Arabidopsis thaliana: one gene and its partners. The protein of the gene in region 2 interacts with the protein of the main gene of each other region in a biochemical or structural test. Each region holds a gene or a part of one and is shown on either strand. Other genes may lie near its edges.

Region 1 (3,756 bases), 2.0 Mb from region 2:
TTAACCTGAATTATTTTCCCACCTAGGAAGAGTAAAAATGCAAAGATTACTAATGAAGAAAAGCCCCATAATTTTGTTTTTTTTTTTGTTTTTACAATTCGTTTCTAGAAACTCAAAATATGAAAAGTTGAATCGTTTCAAAAAGAAATTGCTGGTTCGTTAATTTGCTACGTCTAATCGTTTATTTATAATTATTTTCTTATATCGTGCTTATGAACTTATAATGCAACGTATGATACATGCATTTCCCCTACTGTTCGAATACCAATTGCAGATTCAATGCAAGTCAGCAAGTATCTCCTAAATTATTTCTTAGCAGTAGATATTCTTCTTAATGATTACAATCTTTTAGCAGTAGATATTCTTCTCAATTATGATATGTGACGTGGAATATATATTTTCATCTGTTATATAAAAACAGTCGCAATTATTCAAACAAAATGTATAGGAAAATAAATAAGTGGTGTGAATATGTGATTCAAATGAATCTGTAATATTCTCAAAATTCCTACCTCCGTGAATTCTAGAAAATGTCGTCGATCGGAACAAATTTGAAAATAGAATGATTTGTGTGGATAAACTTTTAAATCATTGTGTGGGAACGCACGGATTCTACAAAATCATGCTGGCCAAGTTAAGCTTCATAGCCTTAATGCATTCACAGCTATGGACAGTCGAGTTGTACGTTAATATGTCTTCTATGGACAGGAGCGGGTAAGATGGCCAATGAGGTCATTATGTTGAGATGTACGTAGACAAATTTCAATGTTGTTCTTTCTGAGTATTAAAAGAGTGTGATCACTGATTTTGAAGTCAGAAAAAACAAAAGAACATGTTTAAAGCGTCAAGTTTATCGCATCGTCTCGGTTCTCAGATTGTGTATTTGGTAGCTGCGGTGGTGGCTAAATTGCGGTCTCTTTTGTTGACATCACTTGTATTTCTTGACTAGTTATTTGTGCTACCTGGTTTTGAATGTGTCTTGCTAGTGCGGTTCTTCATAATTGAAGTTAGTGCTGCAATGAGTTATCACCTCTTGTTGCGTTTGTTTTGTGTTCTAGAAGAGTTAGTAAGATCGATGGTGTTCGATGTGGTTATGAATCGCATAAATCATGCTCTGCTCTATCCGACTTTGGGGAAAGAAATTGGTAGATGGAGCTTGCATCGTTCGCATAATTTGGTTCTTGAGGTTCCATATTATTGGAAAGCTTATGGACTTGAACAACGAGTCACTGTCACATGACGCGAGAGGAGTTTATGCCAGAGAACTTTGAGTTTCTACCGTTGACGGCTCATCCTTAGACCTCCAATTCAAAGTTTTTAATGCAAATAGTTTAGCATTATGCTTTTTTCAAGCAGTAGTTACCCTTCTTCTTAAAAAAACAAAAAACAAAAAACTTAATTATAAGATAAAATTTCAAAATAGTCATATTTTTATCTAACTCGTTCGGCTTCAACGCTTTGGTTGAGTTGATTGACCAAAACTTGTGAATCACGATGTATGCTTCTATGTTTTATTTTTCTTGTTATAGGATCATTTGTATAGGCTTAAAATCTTTTGATTGTAAATTTATATTTTTATCATTTCAATAAAATATTTTTATTTTTATTTAAGAAAAAACAGAAAAAAACAAAAAACAAAAGAACATAATTGTTGCGTACAAAATGAGTGGCTAATGGGTTTGAACTAGACAGAAAAAGTTAGGGACGTTTTATCAAAGACTATTGTAGGCTTATACTTGTTTGTTTTAGGACTTGTCGTTCTATGTCTATTTGTAGTAGTCTCTACTTGTTAGAATAAGATGATTTTTTCAAAACTAATTTTGCACAAGTGATTTGAACTTTAACAAACAGCGACAATTATTAATTTATTATATGGGATTCAGCCATGTGACTAGAATTAAATTGTTCAATCCAAGAGTTCTAGACCCAAAAAAAAAACAGTACTGCCCTTTCAATTTAAAATAATTTGAGAATCAATTAAAGAGCTTAAAGTAGTTGAAAAGTACATAAGTCCAATGTAGAAAAGGTCTTGTCACAACTCTACATATAGACCATAAATCAGAGATTTAAGCACTTCAAACCTTGAGCTCCCTCCTCTCTCTCTCTCTCTCTCTTTGTCTTCAAAATATTCTCAGAAAACAATGGAAGAAACAGCACTGACAAAAGATCAGATCACTGAGTTCAAAGAAGCCTTTTGTCTCTTCGACAAAGACGGCGACGGTTCTCTTCCTTTCTCTAGATGGTCATATATAGAATAAAGATAATAAAGACGACGACTAATATTATGTTGTGTGACATTTATTTATGGTTGTTTGGAATCCTTTAATAGGTTGTATAACGGTGGAAGAACTTGCAACAGTGATCCGTTCGTTGGATCAGAATCCGACAGAACAAGAACTTCATGATATCATCACTGAGATTGATTCTGATAGCAACGGCACCATTGAATTTGCTGAGTTTCTCAACCTCATGGCCAAAAAACTTCAGGTTCCACTCTCTCTTGATCTCTCATGCTTATTTATTTCACAACTAATTACATCAAGTTAACGTAGCCACGTACAAACCAAAAAGTTACATCAAGTGAAATTTTTTTGTCTATATGATTTCTTATATATTATGTTATAGGTCCCTTATTGTAACTCTTTGATATGGGATCCTAACAGGTTCTAGTCAAAATGGAGCTGTCTCATTCATTATGCTTCTAGTTTATTAAAAACTCTTAAGAAATATATTGGAAATATTCAGCTTTTGTATTACAGCAAAATCTGTTTTGCTTTCGGTTTTTCACTACGAATAAATCTGATTTGTGAAGAACTAGACACGTAAATGTGTATAATGTAAACAAAGACTTTTATGACAATAGTTTTTTTGTATGTTAAGTTGTTGTCATGATCATGTGATGGTTTAGGAAAGTGATGCGGAGGAAGAGCTGAAAGAAGCATTCAAAGTCTTTGACAAAGACCAAAATGGATACATCTCTGCCAGTGAGGTCCGTGACTCTTACTCTCTTTTTTTTCTCTCTTTATTACTAATTTGATATATGTGTCAATGTGTATATTTAGTTAGATATATGCTTGACTTATTGAGAACTTAAAAGGGAACTTATGCGGAAAATCCTCTTTAAGAACTTATAAAAACAAATTAGTTCGATGCACTGGATTGCGTTTTGTACAACGTTCTCCAATAATACCATGTACGGTCTAACTGTGTTTTTATTTGGTTATAAATGATTAGAGCTATAATTATTTAGATTTTTGTATCTACTAGAAATCCTTATCTAAATTTTGGTTATTGTCAAATTTAGTTTAGGTACATGAACCAATTTCATAAATGTCTTCTTTGCTTAAGTGGTACATGCTCTATATCTCTAAAGTGTCGTCAAATACAGGCTAAGCACAATAATTATGAGCATAGTATTTTTATGTAACCACTTGGACCAATTAATTCTGCATTAACTAGAAAAAACGAGAAATCCAGCTAAAACACACTTTCACATATGTAGAATCAATGACAAATATCAGACAACAAAGCCAGACGATCTTCCAATTTAAAGAGATCCATAGTTGTCTCATTTATGTTCTAAAACATTTTTTAACAAGACATGGCCATTTATTTATTTGATTTTATATTTTCGAAAGTCTGTTTTCCATCGTGAGGGCTTAGAGCTAGCTGGCATTGTGAATCTTTAGAGAATAACGAAGAGGAACAAAAGAAATTTTAATACAAAGTAGTTAGATAGAGTAAAATGCGTTTGAT
Region 2 (3,756 bases):
TATCGTATTCTTCACTAGTGAAAACCTCGGGAGCTATATATCGACCTATAATGTGGATAACACCGATAAATTTTTATTATAACACATCCAGTAATGAAGACTCTTTAACCAAGCAGATCAAGAATTAAAGCATTCAAAATTTACAGTAACTAGTTGGGTGCGAAAAAGTACTTACAAGAAATGTCTTGACATGTAAAAGGCTTGTCTTCTTTAACAGTAACAAGCTTGCTTACTCCAAAGTCTGCAACTTTCAGATGCCCTGAATCATCCCGCAGAATGTTTCTGCAAATATAGTTTTACCAATGTCAGAACGAAAACAGAAAGAGTTTGCTGTCAGTAACTGCACATATAAGAGACAGAAACCACTGATATGGACAGTGTGACTCACGAAGGTTCAAGATCGCGGTGGATTATAGGGTCTCCTTTGATCTCATGAAGATAGCTCATTCCCCTAGGATAATTCGAACGGGTAAGATTTACAAGAGAATCTTATAGAACATATATAAACAACGAAGAAGAGACATATATAGCTTCAACTTGCATACCTAGCAATATCAAGGGCATATCTAACAGCAGTAGCTGGTTTCAATTGTCCTTTTCGTTTGAGCAATTCACGCAAATCCCCCTGAAGAATATATCAAATGAGATCTTGGTTTCGTGAAACTAAATGCAAAAATAATTTCAAATTTATCAGAGAAAGTCAGTACCCTGGGCAAATATTCAGTCACAATCATCATTGGGTTACTTTGGGTTACAGCACCAAGAAACTGCACAATGTTTGGATGCCTAAGCCTTTGGAGCAATGCAAGCTCATCATGGAACTTCCTCCTACACGCACATACAAAAAGATTATGGTAAGGAATTGGAATCCAAAACCTTAGAAGTTAGAACCGTCTACAGGATATTTACTTACACTTGATCGTCATCGCTCAAAACTTCATCATCCAGCTTTTTCACCGCAACTTGAATACCACGCCACATTGCCATACAGTAAGTTCCCTGAAACAAGAATCTTCACACTGTTAAGACAAAAAAGACTCAAACTTATAGATACAAGATCCATTACAGATGAAACATGTTTTTTACCTTTGTTATCTCTTTGCTTTGAGTGAAATCAAGCTCACTAGGATTTATTTCATACTCAGGGACTTCACGAGCAGTCTTAACGTGCATTGGAGCCATCTGAAAACATACAAATGTGTCAACAATCATGAGAAAAACAAATAAGCTTCCAATCAAACACCAAAACCAACATTACTAGCCAGATTCTTACCGGATGTTTAGCTCCATGTATCTCAAGAATCTTGATAACATCAATGTTCTTGTAAAATATCGCATCTGCAAATGGCTGTTTTCTAAAACGTATTAGATCACTAACAAACATCATCATTACTCAACATAACCAGAGAGACAATCACCAAAAAAAAAAAAAGCAATTGGTTTAGTTTCTTCTTACAGTGCTTCCCCAACGATCTTTAGGATCAACCTCAGCTTTCCGATCAAGAAGAAGCTCAACAACATCTTTCAATCCTTGACAAGCCGCCACGTGTAAAGCAGTCCGATCATCAATGTCTCTGTAATTAGCATCAATCCCTGAATCAATAAGCTCCTTAATCCCTTCAATGTCACCTTCATTAGCCAAATACATTAGTCTCACACCACCATCGATCTCTTCTCCATCCTCAAACACCTCTTCTTCTGAGTGAACCGACGGCTCCGGAATCTTCTCCGGCGCCATTGATGATTGCCTACCAATCGTAAACCTCGGCTGTTGATAATCCTCTTCCATTCCAACAAAAACCCTAAAACCCTGATTTGTATCCGAAAATCTCGGAGTGGGTCAACGAAAAATCAAATCTTTCTACAGTAAAGCTCCAAACTTTTTGGTACCCTTTTGAAAACAGAGACCCTAAAACCCCGATTTAAACCCGATTCACACAATCTGAGAAGAGATTGAACAAAGAAATCGCAAAGAGAATCAAAAAGGTTTCTTCTTTTTTGGTTCTGAATGAATAGAGAATTAAACCCAGCGGCGAAATTTATAGGTGAATGATGCCGTAATGGAGAAGACTAAGCTGGTCGGTAAGAAAGTCATCGGAGAGGAAAAGGAGAAGAACCAGCTTTTGTTGAGCGCGTGTTTGTCACGTGATTTTATGCGCGTATATAGACGTCATATCTGGCGCCACGGTAACAATGCGTTGACGAAAAGAGAGAATAACAAATCTTAGCCGTTGATGTAAACAGCGTCAGATGAAACTTAACGGTGTGGATGAACCCGCACGTGTTTGGATTCGATTCGGTTAAACGACTGCGTTTTACATGCGCCGACGAGTTTTTGTAAGTTTGTAACCAACCTGGCTCGTGAATTTTTAAAGTCATGTCTAAAATTAAAGACTTTTTAAAAAGGGGATAAGAATTATAAGATTACATGAGTTCTATTTTGGTTTGAATTCTAAAATGATATATTTACATATTTTCCACTTGTTTTCTTTATCAATTTACAGGGTACTTTAGTTGTTTCTTGATAATAGCCACTTTAGTTGGCCAAGGAAAAAATATACAAACAAATTGGATAAGGTTTCATGCTAAGAATGTGATTCAATTTATTGTGGTGTACATTGAATAGGTAAAGATTGACATCTGCATCCTCATCTTTTTTTTGGGGGTCAAATTTCAGTTTAGAACCAAAACTCGTTTAACTTACTTATTCAACTTCACAACATGTGGATTTGTATGGCTTTAACATTTTTTCTAATTTTTATTTCATCATTTGTCAACCTTTAGACTTAACTATCTTTTCAACCAGTTATGTATAACAACTAACATGCAAGGTCAAGATTTTGACATTCGTATCTTAAGACATGATGATAATCAATTTGTTGTCTTAAATGACAAGTTGTCTAATTATAGCTCATATGTTCCTGCTGAAAACATTTTAATATTACTTCTCCTTTGATTTCAATCCAACTTTATGGAGTTTCTCTAAGTGATTTAGTAACAAATGTCAACTATACATTCCAAATTGGTTCCTAGCTACTCTTATAGAGATGTTTTTCTATAGCTCATTTGGTTTACTAAAATTAAAAGAATATTCTAATTAATTAGATACGAATAGTGGTTGAATGAAAGTATAATAATTAGATTTCATAGCATCTTATTAACCAAAATTGGATACATACACGTCACATGAATGTCAACGTTACTTAAATAAAAAGTTTCAAGAAAGTATTATATTTTACGAAATTCGAGCAAAATCTTACCAAGTTTTGTCCTATACTCGTACTAAATTATGATGAAAAAACTTTACATTAAATTTTAAATCTATGTTAAAACATATGCACATAGCTATCATATTTTAGTTTCGACGAATGACAAGTTGTTTACTTATAGCTTTTTCCTCCTCCTGCACCCTTATCAATGATTCTTATCTTTAATGTCAATTCAAACTTTTTGAACCTTTTGTTAGTAATTTAGTAACAAATGTCAACTAGACTCCAAATTGATTCATGATTGTGTGCTTTTAAATATTATATCTTGAATCATCTTATTATGATATTATCAGTTTGATAAGAGTCCAATGATTCAAATCCTTGACTAGGTCATTCTTCTTCAAGATATAAACCAAAACACTTAACAAGAAACAGAAGGAGGAATATTCCCACAAGATCCATAAACTATGTTCATATTAACATAGAATTAAGCCAGAGGCAAAGATACATTTAGACCAAACCGATAACAAATTTGAGCCGAACCATG
Region 3 (3,756 bases), on a different chromosome or scaffold from region 2:
AATTGTAGACGTGTGTTTTCAATGTTGCAGGGCAGGTTGGTGCGAGGCATGTCATTATTCATTAGATGAGTCCTTATAAGAGTCTTGAAGAACTCTGGGACGGTGAGATATGAGGCTTAGCTGATTTGATCACTGTATGTGCCAAATCATTAACCGATTTAGATCAATTTTTAGTAATGCTACCAGTTTTCAATAATTAGTTCTGCTACGTTTTAAATGTTTTTCTCAAAAGATACATTGATACCCCAATTATATTCGATACTGAAACCATATTACAAACTCATTTTAATAAATTGCATGCAAGAAAAGATGGTAACACAATAAATTTATTACATAGAAATTATTTTCAAAGATCAAACGCCTTTTTAGAGAGATCTAACATACCAGCCAGACCCTAATGGCATAAAGTTACTGATGTACCATTTCAAGAAAACAACGCTTCGAACAAATTTTTGATGAAGTCGGTCATTGGCGCTGCGATGATATTTTTGGCAACCCCGGCCGCCAAGTCCCTCTCCAAAGTGCCACCAGTTGTGTCATATTTAGTATCATGACCTTGATTCCTAGCCATACACACAAGAACTCAGAATGAAATTTAAGAACAAGAGAGGAACATTCTTTATGAAATTAGATAAGAGGTAGTAAAAAAAGGGGAAGCGGAAAAGTTGTTTAAATCTCACTTGGCCATCATAAGCCTGGCAAACTCTCTGTAGTTGATCTGACCATCACCATCAACATCAGCTGCCTTGATAATCTCATCGATTTCTTCATCAGTTTGCTTCCACCGGAGGATAGTCCTCACATATCTCATTTCAGCAGCTGAGATGAAACCATTCTTGTCTATGTCAAAGAGTCTGAAATCTTTCTTGAGGTCTTTCTCAGAGTAAGTGTCCTTAGCCATTGCGCACAAGAACTCAGTGAAATTGATGGTTCCGTCACCATCTAAATCCGAATCGTTGATCTCCTCCTGAAGCTCAGCTTGGGTCAGGTTTAAACCGAGGGAACGCATCACGGCACCGAACTCCTCTGTGGTAATGTGACCTACAAGAAGTAATCAAGGACTTGTGTTAGTCATTTTCAGTGCTTTGAAGATGATTCAGGATCCAATATGTACGATTAGAGGAATAGAGACGATGAACCATACCATCACCATTCTTGTCGTATACGCTGAACTGTTCCCTAAACTCTGAAATCTGTTGTCTAGTGAACTTATTCGCCATTGTTTTTTATTTTCTGTGATGACTGAGAGAAGAGTTTGTACTACGAACTCTCGGCCTTGAAGCCTTTTTTATAAAACTGAATTCACTGCCATGTCAGCTTTTGCTTTCATGTGAGTCGCCTCCTTGGTTTGTTACTCTAATTGGTTGGTTCCTTCTTCCAAATCGTTATCATCATTAAATGCTGTCTTTTTTTTCTTTTCTTTTTTGTATTTCCATTTATTTGAAAGAAACATTTATTTACAATGGACTAGAGACTTAATAATATATGGTCTTCTACAGAAGAAAACAATTGAATAGAATTATCAACGGTGAAGTATTCATTTGGACTTTTGGATGGGTAGTGGACCAATCGCTACATTTGTCTAAATTATTTCGTTGATTTTTCTCGTTGGTTCGTTCCTTCTTCCAAATTCATTAATATTATTTTCGTTCATTAAATGCTGTCTTTTTCTTCTTCTTCTTTTTTTTTTTTTTTTTTTTTTTGTATTTCCATTTATTGACAATGGACTAGAGACTTAATAATATATGGTCTTCTACAGAAGAAAACAATGGAATAGAATTATCAACGGTGGAAGATTCATTTGGAATTTTGGATGAGTAACTGGACCAATCGCTACATTTGTCTAAATTATATTTTACTTTTATGTTATAGTTTTCTTATACTAACTTTTAATAAATAGTTTATAAAAACACTCATGAGTTCTGGGAAGTGCTTCAACGTCCGTATTTATGCAAAACTTAACAAATCATAATAAAGCAAACACTTGCATAAGATAAAAATGAATCGAAGATGCTTATGACGATTGATTATCACATGTTTACTAAAGTGGTGTTGTTGAAGTTAACGAACTTTACCTATGAAAAATCTGATCTGAGGGATTCGCAAGTGCATTCTACTTGAGAACCCACTCCATCCTCTGATCTAACATCTCTGCTTTGGAAAGAATCGCAAGCCAAGGGTGTGGAAGGTTAGAAACTACACAAACGACCAAAAACATGGTACATACGAAATAACGCGAACCATAGTTTCTACCTTGCGGAGATGGCTTGAGTAAGTAAAGTTGACAGCAAACCACTTCATGTTCCTGACTCAAGAATAACACAGGCAGGAGCAATCTCAAGGTAGACTACAAAGCTACTACCCGCAGTGTAATTTTACCCTTGCTGCTGAATGCTTTCGTCCCAGATGGCTTCCCGATCCAATCTGAGTGCTTAAGACTCCAGAAAGACTCTGAAGCAGAGAGTCATAGCATACTTTAACTGCCCAGCTACCAATAATCGCCGCAAGAACACTTTCCGTTAATGAAATGATGGAATCTACTACCATCTCTTAACGTGATCTCTCGGTTCTTGATCACCGATATATATTTGAAAGCAACATGGCAATCACTGCAAACCCGCAAGTTCTTGATTATTCTAATCGGTGCACCTTCAGGTAATATCATGAGCGCAAATGCAACCGCTAGTTTCTCGCTGTGCTGCACCAAGTCTGATTCTTTCTCCTCCTCATCCATATCATGCAATACTGACGCTGTATCAGGCTTGTATCCCTTCAGCTTCATCTCCAGAGTCAGTTCTTTCAGGTATGAATAGATCTCTTTAGATTTAGACTGAGAGCGATCTCCCATCTTAAACTGATGAACTTCACCTTTGTGTTCAAACCAGCTGATTCCCGCTTCTTTCTTCACATTCTTATCTCTCATCGATTTTCTCACCTCTGATACATCGCGCCATCTCTTAGCTGAGGCGTGAACATTTGCAAGCAGGACGTAACAAGCAGAGTCATTAGGGTCAATCTGAAGAATCTCTTTAAAGACTCTCTGTGCCATTTCTGCGTTTTTGTGTATGTTACACGCAGATAACAATGTTTTCCATATAACAATGTCTGTTTTTATTGGCATAGACCTTATTATTGCCTCGGCTTGATCCAAACAGCCTGCTCGACCGAGCAAATCCACCACACAAGTGTAGTGCTTTAAACCTGGCTTGAACCCGTATTTTTCCACCATCATGTCAAACAACTCAAGCCCTTTGTCTTTTAAGCCAGAATGACTACACGCATAAAGTAAATTCAGAAACGCGACCTCGTTTATCTCCATGTTCGTCTGCTCTGCCATAGTATTAAACAGCTCGATTGCCTCATCGCCTTGTCCATGAAACCCATAAGCAGAAATCATTGAGCTCCACATCACTTCATCTTCATCTTCACGTTCCGAGAAAGCTTTAGCTGCATCTCCAAGACACCCACATTTTGAATACATACTGATCAATGAACTAACTACAGCTACGACAGAGCTAGCCCCAATTTTAATAGCTTCCGCATGAATCTGCTGACCTTGACCTCTTATCGCTAAGTCAGAACAAGAACTGAGCACAGTTACAAATGTGATCTTGTTCGGCCTACAACCTGAGATTTTCATCATCTTATACAGATAAAGCACGGTTTCAGGACATCCGTTTTGCGCGTTCCCCATGATGAGTGTATTCCATGCAACCAAATTACGAACCGGCATTGATCTTATAACAATCTCGCCAT

The links.
Region 1: the proteins of AT4G18950 (region 2) and CAM8 form a complex in vitro, tested with the Arabidopsis thaliana proteins (one large-scale study listed by BioGRID).
Region 3: the proteins of AT4G18950 (region 2) and AT2G41090 form a complex in vitro, tested with the Arabidopsis thaliana proteins (one large-scale study listed by BioGRID).

What each region holds. Positions count from the first base shown.
Region 1 is NC_003075.7:8,395,659-8,399,414, forward strand, and holds the start of CAM8 (calmodulin 8), read left to right. Parts: upstream 1-2,053; 5' UTR 2,054-2,141; coding exon 2,142-2,220; exon of another isoform or gene 2,221-2,304; coding exon of another isoform or gene 2,305-2,329; coding exon 2,330-2,487; intron 2,488-2,908; coding exon 2,909-2,989; coding exon of another isoform or gene 2,990-3,037; exon of another isoform or gene 3,038-3,047; intron 3,048-3,756.
Region 2 is NC_003075.7:10,373,718-10,377,473, reverse strand, and holds the start of AT4G18950 (Integrin-linked protein kinase family), read right to left. Parts: upstream 2,231-3,756; 5' UTR 1,790-2,230; coding exon 1,457-1,789; intron 1,349-1,456; coding exon 1,274-1,348; intron 1,183-1,273; coding exon 1,087-1,182; intron 1,000-1,086; coding exon 914-999; intron 829-913; coding exon 708-828; intron 626-707; coding exon 546-625; intron 452-545; coding exon 389-451; intron 283-388; coding exon 176-282; intron 46-175; coding exon 1-45. UniProt on the Arabidopsis thaliana protein: Serine/threonine protein kinase that phosphorylates proteins on serine and threonine residues. Mediates blue light-dependent stomatal opening in guard cells by promoting plasma membrane-type ATPases (AHA1 and AHA2) phosphorylation.
Region 3 is NC_003071.7:17,133,287-17,137,042, reverse strand, and holds AT2G41090 (Calcium-binding EF-hand family protein), read right to left. Parts: upstream 1,697-3,756; 5' UTR 1,221-1,696; coding exon 1,145-1,220; intron 1,042-1,144; coding exon 681-1,041; intron 564-680; coding exon 425-563; 3' UTR 44-424; downstream 1-43. Other genes in the region: AT2G41082 (uncharacterized protein), read right to left, coding at 2,114-2,218; AT2G41080 (pentatricopeptide (PPR) repeat protein), read right to left, coding at 2,489-3,756.